Mus musculus: one gene and its partner. The protein of the gene in region 2 purifies or fractionates together with the protein of the main gene of each other region. This does not show direct contact. Links are inferred from orthologs where the notes say so. Each region holds a gene or a part of one and is shown on either strand. Other genes may lie near its edges. The genes, in order: Baz1b and Daxx.

Region 1 (9,752 bases), on a different chromosome or scaffold from region 2:
TTTCGGAGGTCTGAATTCAATTCCCAGCAACCACATGGTGGCTCACAACCATCTGTAATGGGATCTGATGCTCTCTTCCGGTCTGCCCTAAGACAGTGAAAGTGTACTCACATACACCAAATAAATAAATCTTGAAAAAAAAAATTGGGGGGCTGGAGAGATGATGGCTCAGCAGTTAAGAGCACTGATTGCTCTTCTAGAGGTCCTGAGTTCAATTCCCAGAAACCACATGGTGGCTAATAAACATCTGTAATGGGATCTGATGCCCTCTTCTAGTGAGTCTGAAGACAGCTACAGTATATTCATATACATAAAATAAAATGAATCTTATTAAAAAATTTTGAGTGTGCTGGTGTCTGTGAATGAAGCATGCCATGTATGTGTAGTACCCACAGAAGCCAGAAGAGGGCATTATGCTCCCTTGGAGCTGGATTTACAGGTTTTGAGCCTGCAATCCGGGGTTTCTATGGTAGACCTATGGTAGTGCTCTTAACACTGCCATCTCTCCAGCCCTTCTGTTTTTGAGAAAAGGTCTCCCTTGTAGCCAGGCTGGCCTAAAGCCCCCTTTCCTCCTGCCTTAGCTTTGGAATGCAGGGATTACAGCCATAAGCGGCCAGTAAGCTTCCACTGTCAATTAATTCAATGAAGGCATACAAGGTACCTTTTAAGAACATACTCACGGCTTTAAGTTAAAATAGAAAAAGTTGTTATAGCTAAACATGCAGTCAAAATGAGGAGAAAATTACTCTTATTAAAATATAACCCTAAGAGCTGGTGAGATGGCTCAGTGGTTAAGAGTGCCGACTGCTCTTCCAAAGGTCCCGAGTTCAAATCCCAGCAACCACATGGTGGCTCATAACCATCCATAATGAAATCTGATGCCCTCTTCTGGAGTGTCTGAAGACAGCTACAGTGTACTTAAATATAATAAATAAATGAATCTTTTAAATATATATATGTATAACCCTAAATATAAATTGAGGAGTGGTGATACTTCCAATACAGCTGTTGCTCAACCATACATCTGCTATCCTCTATGGAACCACTCATAATGAAACATGCCAACCAGCCAGCCACACGGTCCAGAACTCAAAACTACTCTCAATATGCTCCCTGCTTCTGGGAATTTCCAGGAGAGCAATTTCCTCTAAATATCATCTTTTAAAAAATAATTCATTTATCTAAAAGTCCTAAATACTGGTAGAGGAAATTCTAAACAAATGTCTATTAAATGTATACCATTTAAAATGGTTCAGGTTTCAGTTTTCATTAAGAAAATGTTTGCAAGATTAGGGAAACAGTACTATGATGGTGCCTGCTTGCTCCACAATGTGCATCAAAGCATATACACCCAACCCACCTCCAGACAATAAATAAATAATAAACAATGCCTTTGTTAATAATTCTAAATTAGCTGGCTATGTTTCAAATGTCTCAGACTTACCTCTGGGGCTGGTGAGATGGCTCAACAGGTAAGAGCACTGACTGCTCTTACAAAGGACCTGAATTCAAATCCCAGCAACCACATGGTGGCTCACAACCATCCGTAATGAAATCTGACTCCCTCTTCTGGTGTGTCTGAAGCAGCTACAGTGTAGTTATATATAATAATAAATAAATCTTAAAAAAAAAAAAGACTTACCTCTGATAATATTAGTATGACCATCAATAGGTCAAAGAATCAGCTGGGTATGGTACCATGATACCAAGGATAGCAAACCTCGGAGTTTAAACCAGTCTGGACTTGGCCAGTCAAGGTTGCATAGTGACACCCTGCCTAAATAAATAAGTAAGTAGATAGATACATAGATAACTGACATGTAAGGAGACTATGTCAGAGTCCCAGGAGTAAGTTTTACTCTACTGACATCATGAAAATAGTTTTAAAAGCAAGTATGGTACCTTTAGAATAATGTACTTCATAGAACTAAATACACCTTATATCATCTAATTATAACACAAACTGACACAGAGTAGACTAATATCTCAATAAAAGTGTGGGGGTGGCTCAACAGTTAAGAGCACTTGCTGTGGAGCTAGGTTCAGTTCTCAGCTAACACATGTGGAAACCATGTATAGGCACACAGAAGGTTCACACATATAAATGTAGGCAAAACACTCATGTCCATAAAATATATAAATCTTTAAAAGAAAAAAAGTTTTGATTCAGTTAAAAGCAAAGGAGGATGTGTGGCATGGTGGCACATGACTATGACCCTAGAACCCAGAAACTCTTCACTTGGGAGGCTGTCGCAGGATTCAGGAGCTCAAAGGCAACATGGTGTGTGTCAGAGCCTGCAGAGCACATGCAGGGCCCTGGGCCCCATCCTGTACCACAGTTCCTGTTCTTCCCTTCATTTATTTACAGTGACATCCTTGAAAGAGCACTGGATTGTAATCCCAACATTCATCATTTATACACAAGAGTCCATGAACTTTAAACATACCGACTTCAATTCCCTTGGGCCCACTGGGCAAGCAGACAGGAAATCTGGACCACCTCTAAGACCCTTTTCAGCTCAGAAATGCCATAAGCATACATAAGCAAACACCTACATGGAGGCCAGGCATGGTGCTGCAAGAACCCTTTCATCTCAGAACTTAGAACAGGTATGGAATGGCAGATCTTTAAGTTTCAGGCCAATCTGCTCTACAAAATGTTCCATCCTTGACAGAGCCACACAGTGAGACCCTACTGAAAGAAAGAGAAAACAAAAACAAAAACCCAACTGGGGCTTAGAGTCAACAGTGAGGTTAAGTGCACAGAACCTGGGTTCAATCCCCAGCACCCTCACAGTAGCTCACAATCCAAATCTGGCCTCCAGGGTGCTCCAGACACACAGTGCTCCATAGACACATAGGCAGGGAAACATCTATACAGACAAAATTAAAAGGTGGAAAATAATCTCTGTAGGTGGACACTGCCTTTCAGAACTGATGCTAGAAGGGCTGAAGCTGTACTGGCTGGTCCTGAGGTCTATTAATCCCAGATACTAGGGAGGCTAAAGCAGGAGAACCAAAAGTTCAAGGCCTGCCTAAGCCACATGGTGAGTTCCCAGCCAGTCTCAGCAATTTTAATGATGCCCTGACTCAAAATAAAAAACCAGAGGGCCCAGGATGGAGCTTACTAATAGTGCAGGGCCCTACGGTAAATTCCCCAAATATTGAGGAAAGGAAGGGGAGTAAAAGTATCCTAAATATTCAGAACATTTTATTAAATCTACACAGGTGATCGGCAATTCCATCACTTGGGAAGTTAGGAAGGAAAACGTCACACTTAGCTTCCAACACCTACCTTAGACATCAACCTAGGTTACAAGACAATTAAAAATGAAACAACAAAAAACAAAGCAGGAAAGAGGCAAAGGCCAAGAGCAAACTGAAATACTTCACTTGAATCCTTCCTGCTCTTACCTAATCTTTCCAAAGGAAAAGGGGTGGTAAAGATAGCAGGACAGGCAAGTTTGGTAAGGAAACTTAGCTTTTTAAAAAACAAATAAGCCTTAAAAGATTCAACATTCCCCCTACCGGGGGCGGGGGGGGGGGGGGGGGAAGTACTACAACTTTTAACTAAGAGGCTATGCTTGGTCAAGAAATCTTAAAGTAATGATTGGAAATGCTGACTTTGTATTCTAAAACACCAGTTTCACGTACCAGAGAGAGAGAGAGAGAGAGAGAGAGAGAGAGAGAGAGAGAGAGATTGAGAGACAGAGAGACAGGCAGACAGACAGACAGGATCGGGAATGCAGTGTCCAGCCTCTCTGAGTTCGAGGCCAGCCGGTGCTACATGAAGCGCTCCCTCAAAAAAAAAAAAAAAAAAAAAAAGACGGAAAAATGAAACTTCTAAGTGTCAAACTTCTGTGTTCTCTAGGAAATAAATGGCCACCAGAACCATCAATGTACCTTTCTGCTCCTTCCCATCTTCAGTGGGTAAAAAGTTAATGCCAGGTTTTGTGATTTACGGTTCTGTCAGTTCATCCCTGGCCTAAAGTCCACTCCGGAGGAGAAAAACAAAACCCACAAGCCACATCAGTGTCCCCGCACAGCCCACTCAAGACGCAGTAGAGGCTTGCACAAGCCGGATCACGCGGCTGCGCCGGTACAATTTCAAAAACTTAAACTTGACGGTTTCATTTCTATGAAAGGAGAGAGAAATAAAATGCGCAAAGGGAACCCGGCTACCCTCCCTAGTCATTTAGGGCCCGAAGCCAAGTTGGGGAGGAGGGGATTGGTGTTGCGATCACCACCGAGGCCCCGGGGACAAAGTAAGGGGAAAAGGGATGGAGGCGCGCGGTTCCGGGAAGGACGGCTGGAGACGGCCCGGAGGGATCTCGCCGCGGAGCTCCCAAGCCCGGGTAAAGCAGGGCCCCGGGCATCACGGCCCGCGGACGGCCCCGTGCGGTGACAGCTGCCCCGCGAGCCGCGCGCGGCCCATTCGCATCTCGCCATCTCCATCCCTCGCCCTGCGCAGCCGCGGCCGAGCGTCCACACCGCGCGCGGAGAAAGGATACTCCCGGGTGCGGAAGGCCTCCTGAGTGTGCGGGATGGTGAAGAGCGGCTCCTCTCCGGGCAGCGGTTTCACCAGCGGGAAGGGCTTGCGGCCCAGCAGCGGCGCCATCGCGGCGGCGCCGGCAGGGGACGGAGCGCCGAAGGCTCGGCCGCTCTGCTGCGCAGCGCTAGGCCCCGGCAGCCCCGGGGCGAGCGAGCGAGCGAGGCGCCTGGCTCCCGGGGCGATGGGGGAGGGGAGGGGTGAGAGGGCGGCGCGAACTCCGGCTTCCCTCAGAGCTGGCGGGACCGCGCCACGGCCATGGAAGCCAGGGGGACGCCTCGAGGGGAGAAAACGGAGAGATTCTCCTCGCCCCTTCCGGCGCCTTTCACCTCACGCCGATCTCCGCCGCGGCGGCCGCCAGTCACGACTCCTCTCCAGCGGGCACGGGAGGAAATTATTGAAAAATGGCGGGAGATTCCCTTCCTCCCCCCCGCTGCCGGGCCAGCGCACAGACTAACTTGCTTCTCCGTGGCGCCCTGGGGCGGAGGCTCCGATAGGCGGAGGGCTCGTCGGCCTTCGCAGCCTATTGGCTCAGAGAGGCTGCCGCTCCGAGGTCGAGTCCCGCCCCCTGGGCTCCAGCCGCGAAGTTGAGTTGCAGCGCAGCAGAGGGCAGTCTGAAAAGGTGAAAGGTCACGTTATGTAAGAGCCGGGGACGGGCGTGCGGGCCTCCAGTGGCGGACTTCAAAAGTAATGGGACAGCAGTAGGAGGGGGAGGACGAAAAGCGGAAGACTCAAAGAGGTCAGAGCAAAAAGCCCTGTCACTGATACAGACATTGCGCCATCTGTCACCGACGGCGACACCGACATCCGGGCACTCACTGTCCGTGTGCTGCGCCGGAGGGGGGAGGGGGAGCGCGCGGCCAGGGGCTTTGTCTTTCCACTCGCGCTCCGCCCCCCTTCTTAAAGGGGCCGCGCTCGGCCACGCCCGGGGATGCGCGGGTGGAGCTGTACTGGGCGGGAAGTAACTCAGGCCCTCTCCAAACTGAAGTTCCGCATTGGGGCGACTAGGACCCCAACCTTCCCCGACGCGGCATCACTGTAATTGAGAAATGGAGATTAACAGCCTGTTTTTTAAGGACTACAGGGAAGGATAATGAAGAACTTTCTTTAAAAATATGTGGAGGAAGAGCCGCAGAGCAGACTCAGGGGCTAAGATCTTGTACTCGTTCAGAGGACCCAAGTTCAATTCTTAGCTCCCACATCGGGTAGCTGGAACCTGCCTCCGGCTGCAGCTCCAGGAGTTCCCATTCCTCTTGCCTCCTCAGGTGCACGTACTCACGTGCACGTAACATCCCCCACCACGTGTGCACACATACACAATTTAAAAATAAATCTTGAAAGTAAAATAAACGGAAGAATAATAAAGAAGGTTTTCTGTATGTACATATGTAAAAGACTATATTCATTCATATATATGTGTGTGTATATATATATATGTGTGTGTGTATATAGTGCAACTAAGTGATGCAGGTTTTTGAAGCTGGACGGTCCTAAGTGAGTTTGTGACTAACCTGGGCTACAGTCTTACAGGCTGAATAGCAAATCCCTATAACAATAAATAAATAAAGCTATGTTAGAAAACATATGTATTAAGCTCATGGGGCTGGAGAAGTGACTCCGCATGCAATTAAGAGTTCTTCCAGAGATTCTGGGTCTGATTCACAGTTTTTGTGTTGGAGGATCACAATCGCCTGTGACTCCAGAGCAGTAGATTCTTGCAACCCTGTATACATACCCCCCCCATACACATAATTTAAAATAAAAATAAATGTACTATTAAAAAAGATGGGCCTAAAGGGATGGCTTAAGGTTAACACATACTGCTCTTGCAGAAGACCTGAGTTGGATTCCAGCATCCACATGCAATGGCTCTCAACCATTACTAACTCCAGTTCAAAAGGTCAAAGACGCTCTAGCGCCCTCTTTTGGTCTCTGAAGGCATGTGGGCATGCCTTCACACCCCCACTCCACCCCCACCTCTTCACATAAATAAGTACATAGTGAGACTCTGAAACCAACAATAACAATAATAAATTTAAATGTATAGTTCATTAATTAAAATCCTATTAAAGGATATGTATGTATAAATAAATAAACGTTGGGGCCAGAGATATGACTCAAAATTAAGAGTACTGGCTACTCTTGCTGGGAACTAGAGTTTGAGTCCCAGCACCCACATGGTGGCTCACAACAATCTGTAAGTTCAGTCCCAGAGGATCTGACACTCTCTTCTGGTCTCCTTGGGCACTGTACACATGTAGGGCACAGACACACAGGCAAAACATACATTCACACACAGACACACACACAAGAAAATAATAGTAAAAGCTGGAGAGTTGAGGATCTGATACTAGGTGGTCGTGAAGATCAGAATGCCAGCACTGGGAAGGAGAGGCAACTTGTCAGGCAGGACTATGGCCTATCATAAAGGGGGTGGAGTAGGGACAGGAAGCAAAAGAAGGAAAGGAGAAATGAAAGAAAAAAGGGAAGGTAAAGAAAAATGCGCTTACTGGGCCGGGACAGAACCACCTGGCACTGCCATCCTGGTTTTGTGAGACAGGTTCATGCCATGTAGCCAGGCCAGCCTCAAACCACAGGCCTCCTGCCTCAGTCTCCTAGCTGCATCCACCTCTCCTCTGTACCTTGGATTGCTCATTGCCTTCTGAATCTTTTCTTCCAATTGTTCTAAGCACACCCATCTGAAGTGGGAATTTGAGGGTTCTTTGGAAAGCCAGTTGTGTTGGATGGTGTTTTGCTGGGGCAAACATGTGAAGGAATGTTTCACTGAAGCAGACATGTGAGAAAGAATGTTCTGCAAGCTTGTGAAAGGACATATGATGAAGGATTCTTCACTAATGACACACATGTATCGGTCCACCTTATATTTTGTAGTTGGGCTACATTTGTCAGGACTCCATAGAGAGAAATACACCAAAAAACTCAAAGGACTCAACAGACAATAACAGAGGCTGAGCTTGCTTGCTGGGATAGCCGGCTGAGCAATGCTTGTTAGTATCCACTCTTCGCTGATCTTCACTTCCTCATGAGAGGTACAGCTGAGAACTTCTGCTTGTGTTCCTCCTGGTCCCTTCTGCTAACTAGTGCTGAGACTACAAAGTGAGTTCCTGAACAGCGAGGGCTATACAGAGAAGTCCTGTCTCAAAAAAAAAAAAAAAAAAAAAAAAAGCATATATTGTTTATATGTATTTGTGTAATAATGAGTTCATCAAACATTTTCATAATAAATATGTATATGTGTGTGTGTGTGTGTGTGTGTGTGTATTTCTTTTGAGACAGGGCTTCTCTGTGTAGCCCTGGCTGTTCTAGAACTCACTCTGTAGACCAGACTGGCCTCAAACTCAGAAATCTTCCTGTCTCTGCCTCCCAAGTGCTGGTATTAACTGCCTGGCCTGGTTTGTTTGTTTGTTATTTTAATTTTGGTTTGGTTTGGTTTGTTTTTGGTTTTCCGAGACAGGGATTCTGTGTGTGCCCCTGGCTGTCCTGGAACTCACTCTGTAGACCAGGCTGGCCTCAAACTCAGAAATCTCCCTGCCTCTGCCTCCCATGTACCACTACAGGGACCTACTTTCATATTTTGTTGTTTTTGGTATTATTTTTGGTATTATTATTATTTTGCTTCATGTTTTGTCTTGTTGGTTTTGTTATTGTTATCTTTGAGGGTTTGCTTTTTGTTTTTTGTTTTTTTTCTTTTTGTTTTTCTTTTTCTTTTTTTTCTTAACCTCCTTTTGATGTCCTGAACTAATTACCAATGGTTGTGAGCCACCATGTGGTTGCTGGGAATTGAACTCATGACCTCTGAAGAGCAAACAGTCCTCTTAACCAGCCCCTTGTTTGTTTTTCTGGGGGGGGGGGGGGGGAGGGGAGGGGGCGGAGAGAGTGAGAGAGAAAGAATGCGTTTTGTGCTGCCCCCTAGCAGGAGCATGGATGAGGGCTTATGTACAGGCCACCACACCACTGAAGATGCTGCTCCCTCTCCCAGCAGCTTTGACTCTCCTAGATTCCCAGGGAGGGGCAGGCCTTTGAGTCCCTCCCCCACCTCTGACAGAATGCACAACTCAAGGCTTTGGATTTGTTTTTGAGGCAGGATCTCTTTCAAGCCAGGCTGGCCTGTCTTACTGTAAAGCTGTGAAAATGACCTTAAACCTCTCATCTTCTGGTTTCGCCACCCAGAGCCTGGCTCACAGGTGTGGTGTGCTGCCCCATTTCTGCTGTTCAGGGCCTCTGTCCAACTCGAGGCTTCTCGAATGAGAGGCAAGCTCTCTCTACCAGCTGAGCTACACCCCCAGTGCAACTATTTTTTTTTCTTTGTAAATCATAATTTTAGCATGATTACTCATTCCATGTAGGCTCTGTCCCATTTGAATAAACAAATTAATACTAAAGGACAGAGATTGAAGCCAGCAGTTTCTAGGGATCCTCTACAGACCTCCTCCTGTGTCTGCTCCCCAGTTAGCAGTCGCTGGTTTCCTGCCGGGAAAAGCGCCATTTAAAGCTACATGACCAAGCTGAATCTTTTGTTATTATCTTATTTACTTTTGAGAGAGTTCCAAGATGTAGCTCTGGCTGCCCTGGAACTCTGTAGACCAGGGCCTCAAACCCACAGTCACTTGCTTTTTGCCTCTCTAGTGCTAGGATTAAAGGTGCATGCCACTATGCCCGGCCAAGTTTTACTATTTATGTGGATGAGTGTTTAGTCTCTGTTTATGACTGCACTACAGGTGTGCCACGCTCTCAGAGGCCACAAGCAGATGTCATAGCTCCTGGGACTGAAGTTACCCTTCATTGTTAGCATCCATGTGGGTTCTGGGAATTGAACCCGAGTCCGCTCTAAAGGAGTGCTCTCAACTGCGGAACTGAGTTTCCAGTTCCTTCTTCGTTTGTGAGACAGGGTCCTTTGGAATCTAGGCTGGCCTAAAGGATCATCCTAAACTTTTCTTTTCTTTCTTTCTTTTTTCTTGAGTCAGAGTGTAGCTCTGGCTGACCTAGAACTATGTAGACCAGCCTTGAATTCACAGAAATTCTCCTGCCTCTACCTCTCAAGTGCTGAGATTAAAGGCATGTGCCACCATGTTAGGGCTGACCCTGGTCTTCCTGCCTACCCATCTCCAGTGCCACAAGTACACTAGTGTGCCTTGTTTCAAGTGGTATGGAAGGTAGAACCCCTCTGGTCATGAACCATGCT
Region 2 (9,652 bases):
GATTAAAGGCGTGTACCACCAAGCCAGGCACAGTATTGGCATTTAGTCTAGGCTCCACCCCACAGTTACCTGGCAACAGCCAGATATGCCTGACTCACTCTAAAAGGGCTGCTTGCCCCCTCCTCTCTCTCTTGCTCTGTCCTCTTGCTCCCCCTTCCCCCTCTCTTTTTCTCTCTATTCCCCTCCCCCTCTCCCTCCACGTGCTCGTGGCCAGTCTCCCCTTCCCTCCCCTCCCATCCCCTCACCCACCTCTCTCTCTCCAGTCTCAACTCCCCTCCCCATGCTCTGAATAAACTCTATTCTATACTATATTGTCTATTGTATGGCTGGTCCCTCAGGGGGAAAGGATGCCTCAGTATGGGCCCACAGAGGCACCCCCTTCCCCCCACAGTTCATCGTACTTCCATCAAACATATTCCTTTTCTCATCATCTTTTTATAAAATACACCACTCAGTGACCCTGATCCTCCTGCCTCAGCATCCTGAAGGTTGGGAATTGAGGCATGTGCCACTCAGCCTGGCTAGATTTTTACCAATCTGAAGACCATGGGCAGAAATCTGACCTGCTTTGGCTAAGTGATGCTTCCCCCTCCCCCCCCCCCCCCCGTAGAAGCCCCACCCAACCCTGACCTGTTGTTACAGCATGCTCCCTCTCGGTCAGGAGAGGCCCCAAACTGACCCTTGGCACGTGAGGCCAGGAATGCCTGTCCATTCCAATTAAGGTCTCTATAATGGGTGGGTTGTCTGATTCCAAAGCTGAGTTACAATGTGTTTAAGCTAGATATACAGCCTGACCTTTCACATCAGTGTCCTGGGCCACTGACAGCTCACGGGGGGGGGGGGTGGGGGGGGTGGGGTGGGGTGGTGGTGGTGGTGGTGGTGGTGGTGGTGGTGGTGGTGGTGGTGTTTACAGTCTAACACCCTGACCCATCGTGGGAGCCCAGGTAAAGGGAGGAAGAGTTAATATGCTGAGAGTCAGAAAACTTATAAAGAAATAAAAATTGCCCCCAAACTCAAAAGCCTTTCTCTCCTTTCTACCTGGGTTCTTGAATTAGGGTCAAAGCCAGCAGCTGCGGGATCGTCACACCCTTACCCTTTAATCCCAGCGATGCTGAGCCGGCTTCCATCCCCTCGCTGAGCTAGCCAGCTGTCTGACTGCTTGAAAATGGCGGAAGAGGAAGAGGGCGGCGTGGAGGAGGGGGACGTGTTCCTAGCATTTGCCCAGGGTCCCATTCCTCCTCGGGGGCCCGTGCGGCGGGCTTTGGACAAGATCTTCCTCGCCTTCTTGGTCCTCTTCCTGACTCTGCTGATGCTGGAGGCTGCTTACAAACTGCTGTGGCCCCTGCCATGGGCCAAGTTTCAGGACTGGCTCCTGAGGACCCCTGAGGAGGAGGCAGCTCTGGAACTCTGAGCGTCTTCATAGACCACCTGTCCTTGCTACTGAGGTGAGAAAGGAGATGTTAGAGAGGTCAGGGTGGAAGACATAGTTAAGGCCAACACTCTGAGATTATCTTTGTTTATCTGCGTTTCTGTTTGTGGGTATGTGCATGAGTTCAGGTGCCCGCGGAAGCTAGAGGTTGTCGGATCCCTAGGGGCTGGGGTTATAGAAGGTGTTAGTCACCTGAAGTGGGTACTGGGAACCAGACTCAGGTCTGCAACACACACACACACACCTTTATATACATACTGTATATAAATGTAATTTCAGAACCCACATGAGAGCATACAAAGAATAATTTTTCCTTTTGAATAGCTTATTTTGCTTAAGAATGTACTTTTTTCTTTTATTTTTTAAGATTTAAAGTGCACTGTAGCTATCTTAGACATTTTTTTCTTCTCTCTCCAGCCCAGCTCACTCAAAGATTTATTATATGTACGTACACTGTCGCTGTCTTCAGACACCCCAGAAGAGGGCATCAGATCTCATTAAGGATGGTTGTGAGCCACCATGTGGTTGCTGGGATTTGAACTCAGGACCTCTGGAACAGCAGTCAGTGCTCTTAACCGCTGAGCCATTTCTCCAACCCTTAAGAGTGTATTTTATTTCCTTTTGATTTCCTGCAAGTATCATGGTTTCAGTTTTCTTTCTGGCTGTAAGACTCCATTGTATGTCCGAACCACATTTTATCTGTTTTACGGGCCAGTTGGCTGCTTCTGTTCTTTTGCCTATTGCAATCGCTACAGCAATAAACATGGATGTGTACGTGGTGTTCTGACTTAAATTTCTTCAAGTATCTATCCAGGAGCAATACATCTAGGACATGTTAGGTCTTAGGCCGTGCATAGGTCCAGAGATGGGTCCTGGCCCACCTCAAGCTGGACTCTAGAAGAGTCCCTGGCAGTTAGACAAAGGCCAGAATTCCCCCAGGACCTTGTGAAACAGGCTCCTGTCTGCAGAAAGGATGTTTCCCTTGCCTCTGGAAAAAGGACACAAGGCTCAGCAGTGTGCCTGGGGTGCCTCTGTGCGTGTTCCCATACTAGCATCCTCCTTCCTGAGACTCCCAGCCCTGCTCCAGGTCAGGGCCTCCCTAACCCTAGCTCCCTCCATATACATCTCATACGCAGCGGCTGTCTACCATTTCTCATCATGGCTGCTCACAGCTCCAGTCCCTGGGATCAGTCCACCCTCTTTTGATCTTCATGTCCATAAAAAGTACTTTGAGCATTTGTGATTATTGCAGGAACAGAATGGATCAGACAATGTAAAAACCTATGCTTACTTTTATTCATTATATATAAGGAATTCTGGTTAATTTCACCTGCGTTTCTCTTGGATGCCCCTCTCCTAGGGAAGCTCTTACTCCCCCAGGCTGATTCTACTCCCTGGCTCCTCCCCCCACTGTTAAGTTTAATTGGGATTTGCAGGAGGGGACCTAGGGGTTGGAGCTCCCTGGGTTTACCAGTGGCAGAAAAAGACTCTCCCAACAAGAATTGCCAATAGCTCTTTAGAGATGGGTGGGGATTCTCATGAGCCCCCTTCCTTATTTCTGATTTTTTTCTTTCTTTCTTTTTTTTTATTTTCAAGACAGGTTTCTCTGTTTAGCCCTGGCTGTCCTAGAACTCAGAAATCTGCCTGCCTCTGCCTCCCAAGTACTGGGATTAAAGGCATGCGCCACCATGCCCAGCTTTCTGATGGGCTTTTTTTTTTTGTTTTTAAAGATTTATTTTATTATTATATCTAAGTACACTGTAGCTGTCTTCAGACACACCAGAAGAGGGCATCAGATCTATATTAAGGATGGTTGTGAACCACCATGTGGTTGCTAGGACTTGAACTCATGACCTTTGGAAGAGCAGTCAGTGCTCTTACCTGCTGAGTCATCTCTCCAGCTCCTCTGATGGTCTCTTAATAGCAGGTAATCTTGGCCTCTGTGAGTTGGTCAGTGCCACAAGCTGGCCTTGTCACAGAACTCTAATCCAACTTTCACCTCCTAACTTCCATCCACACCCGCTCCCTTCTTCCATGGTCCCTCAGCTTGCAGTCAGTTTTTATAACGACTAACTTTAACAATACATTTATTTTACTTTACGTGTATGGATGATTTGCCTGGATGCTCGTATGTTCACCACACACAAGCCTATTGGATTTCCTGGAACTGGGATTACAGTTGGTTGTGAGCAACAAGTGCTCTTAAAGGCTTTCACAGGCACTTGCACTCATGTTGTGTAGAGACTTACACTGGCACACGCGTAAAAGGGAATATAAATAATTGTGAAAAGATGGGGGAACCTTTATTTCAGGGAAACCCATTTTGAGAAACCCAAGGATAAGAAAATTAAATCATCTCTTAAGAGTCCGGTCAGCCATTGGAGAGCTACCCCACCCCACCCCACCCCGCTCCTATTGAAATGCTGTAAGCCCAGAAGGCCGGACACAATGAGAGGAGGTGGGTTTAAAATTGAAGTTCGGGTCCTCTGAGAGCAGCTGGGCTTCTTTCTTGGTCCTGCAAATTGGCAAGATGCCCACCACCGTGGAAGGAAGGCTGCAGAGCCGAAGTCTCCGCGCAGAGTGTTGACGTTCAGGCTTCCTCATCAACACCTGCGGACCTTGCCTCCCCACCCTGGGCCGGGCGGGCATCACAGTGGTTTCCCCCTCTTCCTTTTCTCCGCGGCTCTGCGGGAGAAGAAGACACCCCGCGGGATTTCATGAGCCTCTTTTCCTAGAGCTCCCAGCGGCAGCTTGCACGGCTTCTCCCCAAGCCCGCGCCAGGTTATCCCGCGCTCCGCCTCCCGCCCTGCAAACCCAGGCAGTGAAGCACTGCCTTCTGTACCGGTCAAGACGACTCCGGGACAAACAGGGGGCCCACGGTTCGCACCAGGGGGCTCGGTCATAACGACAGTGGTGCAGTCTGAGATGCGTGTCGCCGACGACAATAAAAACAATAGCTCACTCCAGCATCATGCTGTGCTCATTTGTATGCGTGTGTTCGTGTGTGTGTGCACCTGGCCCAGGAGGCCCGGCTGGACAGCCTCGAGGTGCACGCCTCCTCTCGAAGGAAGGGAAGGGCCAGCGTAGGCAGCCAGGCGGTGGAACTCCAGGGGCCGGAGGGAGAGCAGAGAAGGCGGTGCAAGGCTTACACCAACCCAGGGCAGGAAAAGCATATCTTTTATTTCGTTCCCTGGAGCCCTGCACAGCCATAGAGACATCAGCTCCTTAGCTACCTGCAGGAGATTCCTTACCCTCCTAGGGTGGAGGGACCGGTCTTACCCGATGCGACTCCACGCGATGGCTTGGGGTTGTGGGGCAGGTCTGAGGCTGGAGTTTCTGATTGGCCGAGCGGCTTCGGCAAGCTCCTGGTGCAAAGAGCTCCACGCCTCGCCGCGGAGCAGGCCGGTGCCGTACGGCAACATGGCGCGCCCCATCTACCTGGTCCTCCGCCCCGCCCCGTCGAGCCTCCGCGTCCCCGGAGCGGTGGCCTCGGTGGGCGAGCCGAGCGTCACTTCCGGCTCTAAGCGGCCTGGGTCCCGTACAGCAATATGGCCGCCCTCAGGTGCTCCAGGCGGAAGCGCTAAGGCTTCCGGTCTGTTGTGGGGTCTGCGGTGGGGGTTGGGGAGAGGAAGGCGGAGGGAACTATGCGAGGATTTGTGATCCGCGCTCAGGGGATCCTCGAGAGACCGTTTCTGAGGTGGGGGCCAGGTCGTGCGCGGAGCGGGGGTGGCGGCGCAGGAGTGGCGAAGGCGACGGCTCGGCAGGGCCTGCCCGACGAGGCTCAGGGCCGAGCTGGTAGGGTACCTTGCTAGCCCTGAAGGCGAGTGTGGCGGCCTAGGGCTGAACGCCGAGAGAGGGCTCCTTGGCGGGAAGCTGAGGCCCAGACAGGAGGAATGGCGAGTGGTGGGCTCGCTGTCGGGTACCGTCGCTGAGAGTTGGCTGGGAAAACCAGGGTGCGGTGAGAGGGAGGGGACTGGAGGTGAAAAATCTCCAGCCTACAGCCCCGGTTGGAGGAAGGGGGAACACGGAGATGACTGTAGGAGCGGAGAGGACACCAGGCTCTGGGGAGGGAGTCGAAGAGTTGGAGTTAAGGAGAAGTCCGAGAGGACTGTGTTGTTTGAGGGCGAGAGCTGGGCAAACCCACTACGTGGTGTGGACAGGGTGTTGGTTCCTGTAGACAGAAAAACTCGGAGAGCAGCGTGGGACCTTGTCCTCCATTGGATTGGGAGGAAAGAGAAAACGTAGCAGCTGACAGAGTGTGGGAAAACGCAACCGAAAGACAGGAAACGCACTGGGGTGGGAGTGGCTGGAGTTGAGGGTGAGGATTTAAGGTGATCCGGAGGCTTTCCCCCAGAGCTGCTCGAAACTGAGAGTTGCAGAAGACAGGCGTTGAAGACTTGGGAAGGCTTGGGAAGGACTAAGCTATTCTGAAACCCCGACGGGGTGGGACTAAGCAGGAGGGGCTCTTTCGAGGCTCCCTTGTCCTGCCCCTTCCAGAATTCTGACCTTTCCAATACTTTCTCCCTCAGGGGAATTTGAACCCCCATGGCCACCGATGACAGCATCATTGTACTTGATGATGACGATGAAGATGAAGCTGCTGCTCAACCAGGGCCCTCCAACCTACCCCCCAATCCTGCCTCAACAGGACCTGGTCCTGGCCTGTCTCAACAGGCCACTGGTCTCTCCGAGCCCCGTGTGGATGGAGGGAGCAGTAACTCCGGTAGTAGGAAGTGCTACAAGTTGGATAATGAGAAGCTCTTTGAAGAGGTAAGCTTTTGAGATAAAAGGGTCGCCCTTTGTGGCCCATGCTGGCCTTGAACTCACAGAGCTTTTACTTGCCTCAGCCTCCTGACAGCTAGGATTAAAAATGTGAACCACTGGGCAGGAGAGATGGTTCAGCGGTTAAGAGCATTGAGCATCCAGAAGTCCTGAGTTCAATTACCACCAACCACATGATGGCGTGGCTCACAGCCGTCTGTAATAGGATCTGATGCCCTCTTCTGGTGTATCTGAAGACAGCTACAGTGTACTCATATATAGAATAAATGTTAAAAAAAAAAGCTGGGCAGTGGTGGAGCACACCTTTATTCCCAGCACTTGGGAGGCAGAGGCAGGCAGATTTCTGAGTTCGAGGACAGCCTGGTCTACAGAGTGAGTTCCAGGACAGCCAGAGCTACACAGAGAAACCCTGTCTTGAAAAACAAAAGATGTGATCCACTATGGTGTGATAGGGCCGATGCCAGGTAAAGGGGTGTGTGATTGGCTGGTTGTTCTGGCTTCCTCACCGATTCCATCTTTTTTTCCCCCCTTTTCCCTTCCCTTGAACCATGTAGTTCCTTGAACTGTGTAAGACGGAGACATCAGACCACCCTGAGGTGGTTCCGTTCCTCCACAAACTGCAGCAGCGTGCCCAGTCTGTGTTTCTGGCCTCTGCAGAGTTCTGCAACATCCTCTCCAGGGTTCTGGCTCGGTCTCGGAAGCGGCCCGCTAAGATCTATGTGTACATTAACGAGCTCTGCACTGTTCTTAAAGCTCACTCCATCAAGAAGAAGTTGAACTTAGCTCCTGCAGCCTCAACGACCAGTGAGGCGTCGGGCCCTAACCCTCCCACAGAGCCCCCCTCTGACCTTACAAACACTGAAAACACTGCCTCTGAGGCCTCAAGGACTCGCGGTTCCCGGAGGCAGATCCAGCGCCTGGAGCAGCTGCTGGCACTGTACGTAGCCGAGATTCGGCGGCTGCAGGAGAAGGAGTTGGACCTGTCAGAGCTGGATGACCCAGACTCCTCGTATTTGCAGGAGGCCCGCTTGAAGAGGAAGTTGATCCGCCTCTTCGGGCGGTTGTGTGAGTTGAAGGACTGCTCTTCTCTGACGGGGCGGGTCATAGAGCAGCGAATTCCGTACCGAGGCACCCGGTACCCAGAGGTCAACAGGCGCATTGAACGGCTCATTAACAAGCCGGGGCTGGACACCTTCCCCGATTATGGAGATGTGCTGAGAGCCGTGGAGAAGGCGGCGACCCGGCACAGCCTGGGCCTTCCCAGACAGCAGCTTCAGCTCCTGGCTCAGGATGCCTTCCGGGACGTGGGCGTCAGGTTACAGGAGCGGCGCCACCTGGATCTCATCTACAACTTTGGCTGTCACCTCACAGATGACTATAGGCCAGGTAGGACGCTCCCTTCAGGTTGGATGGAGGCATCTCTAGTCCCTTGTAGGATTGGGACTGGGTTTGCTGACCCTGTTTTCCCACACAGGCGTTGACCCCGCACTGTCTGATCCCACATTGGCTCGCCGCCTTCGGGAAAATCGAACCTTGGCCATGAACCGGCTGGATGAGGTCATCTCCAAGTATGCAATGATGCAAGACAAGACTGAGGAGGGCGAGAGACAGAAGAGACGAGCCCGGCTCTTAGGCACCGCCCCCCAACCTTCAGACCCCCCCAAAGCCTCCTCGGAATCTGGTGAGGTATGGAAGGGTTAACTCAGATCTTGTCTGCGCCCTGCACTGCCACTAGGCACTCCAGGGTGACTCCTGGAGCAGCGTATGGAAGTGGGGAAAGAATATTGGTGATGTGCTTGCCTTGCAGTCTCGCAGTCATGAGCTCCCAGAGTTGAGTCCTCCTCCTACCAATCAAAAAGCTGTGGGGCACGGGATTCCTTAAGAGAGACTGCTCTTTCCCTCAGGGTCCTAGCGGAATGGCATCCCAGGAGTGCCCTACTACCTCCAAAGCTGAGACTGATGATGACGATGATGACGATGATGATGACGACGACGAAGATAACGAGGAAAGTGAGGAGGAGGAGGAGGAGGAAGAGGAGGAGAAAGAGGCTACTGAAGATGAAGATGAGGATCTAGAACAGTTGCAGGAAGATCAGGGGGGTGATGAAGAAGAGGAAGGAGGAGGTATATGCGTAAACGGAGCTCCTCTGTGGGGAGCATCCTTGTGGTGTTAGTTCTGCTCTGTCGGACATGAGCTCCTTGTTGAGCCTTTCCCTCCCTTCCTCCCTCCCTCCCTCCCTCCCTCCCTCCCTCCCTCCCTCCCTCCCTTCCTTCCTTCCTTCCTTCCTTCCTTCCTTCCTTCCTCCTCCTCCTCTTCCTCCTCCTATGCCCTTTTTTTTTTTTTTAAAGATTTATTGATTATTATATGTAAGTATACTGTAGCTGTCTTCAGACACACCAGAAGAGGGCGTCAGATCTCGTTACGGATGGTTGTGAGCCACCATGTGGTTGCTGGGACTTGAACACTGGACCTTTGGAAGAGCAGTCCGGTGCTCTTACCCACTGAGCCATCTCTCCAGCCCTCTCCTATGTCCTTTGCACAGCCCCTCTATCCCTGTTCCTCATCCACCCCTCCCCTTTCTTTTCCAGATAATGAAGGAAATGAGAGTCCCACATCGCCTTCAGACTTTTTCCATAGAAGGAATTCAGAGCCTGCAGAAGGGCTCAGGACCCCCGAGGGGCAGCAAAAGAGAGGACTGACAGAGACCCCAGCATCCCCGCCAGGGGCATCCCTGGACCCTCCCAGCACTGACGCTGAGAGCAGTGGAGAGCAGCTCCTCGAGCCGCTCCTGGGAGACGAGAGTCCTGTGTCCCAGCTCGCTGAGCTAGAGATGGAAGCTTTGCCTGAGGAAAGGGACATTTCCTCCTCCAGGAAAAAGTCGGAAGATTCCCTCCCCACCATCTTGGAAAATGGGGCAGCTGTGGTTACCTCTACATCTGTCAATGGGCGTGTCTCTTCTCACACTTGGAGAGATGCCAGTCCCCCCAGCAAGAGATTTCGGAAGGAAAAGAAGCAACTGGGCTCTGGACTGTTAGGAAACAGGTAATAGTGGGTGAGGAGGAAGGCAGGCAAGGAGGCAGGACTCTCTGAAGGGAGCCTGATGTCCTAGGTCTCCCTGCAGCCTCAGGCCCTTTCTGTCATTTTTCTTCTGTCCTTAGCTATATAAAAGAACCGATGGCACAGCAGGACAGTGGGCAGAACACAAGTGTCCAGCCTATGCCATCCCCCCCCTTGGCCTCTGTGGCTTCTGTCGCTGATTCCTCCACAAGGGTGGACTCTCCCAGCCATGAACTGGTGACCAGCTCTCTGTGCAGCCCTTCTCCATCCCTGCTTCTCCAGACACCCCAGGCTCAGTCTCTCCGGCAGTGTATTTATAAGGTGAGTGGGCAGTGTCCCCTGGCACTGCATTCTCACCCTTTCCCTTTCTGTGGGTATTGCAC

What was found.
Region 1: the proteins of Daxx (region 2) and Baz1b purify together in Homo sapiens (co-immunoprecipitation; 3 studies listed by BioGRID and IntAct, with this or other methods). This does not show direct contact. The link is inferred for Mus musculus from reciprocal best matches to the Homo sapiens genes DAXX and BAZ1B.

What each region holds. Positions count from the first base shown.
Region 1 is NC_000071.6:135,182,516-135,192,267, reverse strand, and holds the start of Baz1b (tyrosine-protein kinase BAZ1B), read right to left. Parts: upstream 4,946-9,752; 5' UTR 4,619-4,945; coding exon 4,512-4,618; intron 1-4,511. UniProt on the Homo sapiens protein: Atypical tyrosine-protein kinase that plays a central role in chromatin remodeling and acts as a transcription regulator. Involved in DNA damage response by phosphorylating 'Tyr-142' of histone H2AX (H2AXY142ph).
Region 2 is NC_000083.6:33,904,473-33,914,124, forward strand, and holds the start of Daxx (death domain-associated protein 6), read left to right. Parts: upstream 1-4,972; 5' UTR 4,973-5,126; exon of another isoform or gene 5,127-5,382; intron 5,383-5,958; 5' UTR 5,959-5,974; coding exon 5,975-6,199; intron 6,200-6,765; coding exon 6,766-7,597; intron 7,598-7,685; coding exon 7,686-7,897; intron 7,898-8,115; coding exon 8,116-8,335; intron 8,336-8,800; coding exon 8,801-9,254; intron 9,255-9,333; exon of another isoform or gene 9,334-9,370; coding exon 9,371-9,590; intron 9,591-9,652. Other genes in the region: Smim40 (small integral membrane protein 40), read left to right, coding at 1,166-1,411. UniProt on the Homo sapiens protein: Transcription corepressor known to repress transcriptional potential of several sumoylated transcription factors. Down-regulates basal and activated transcription.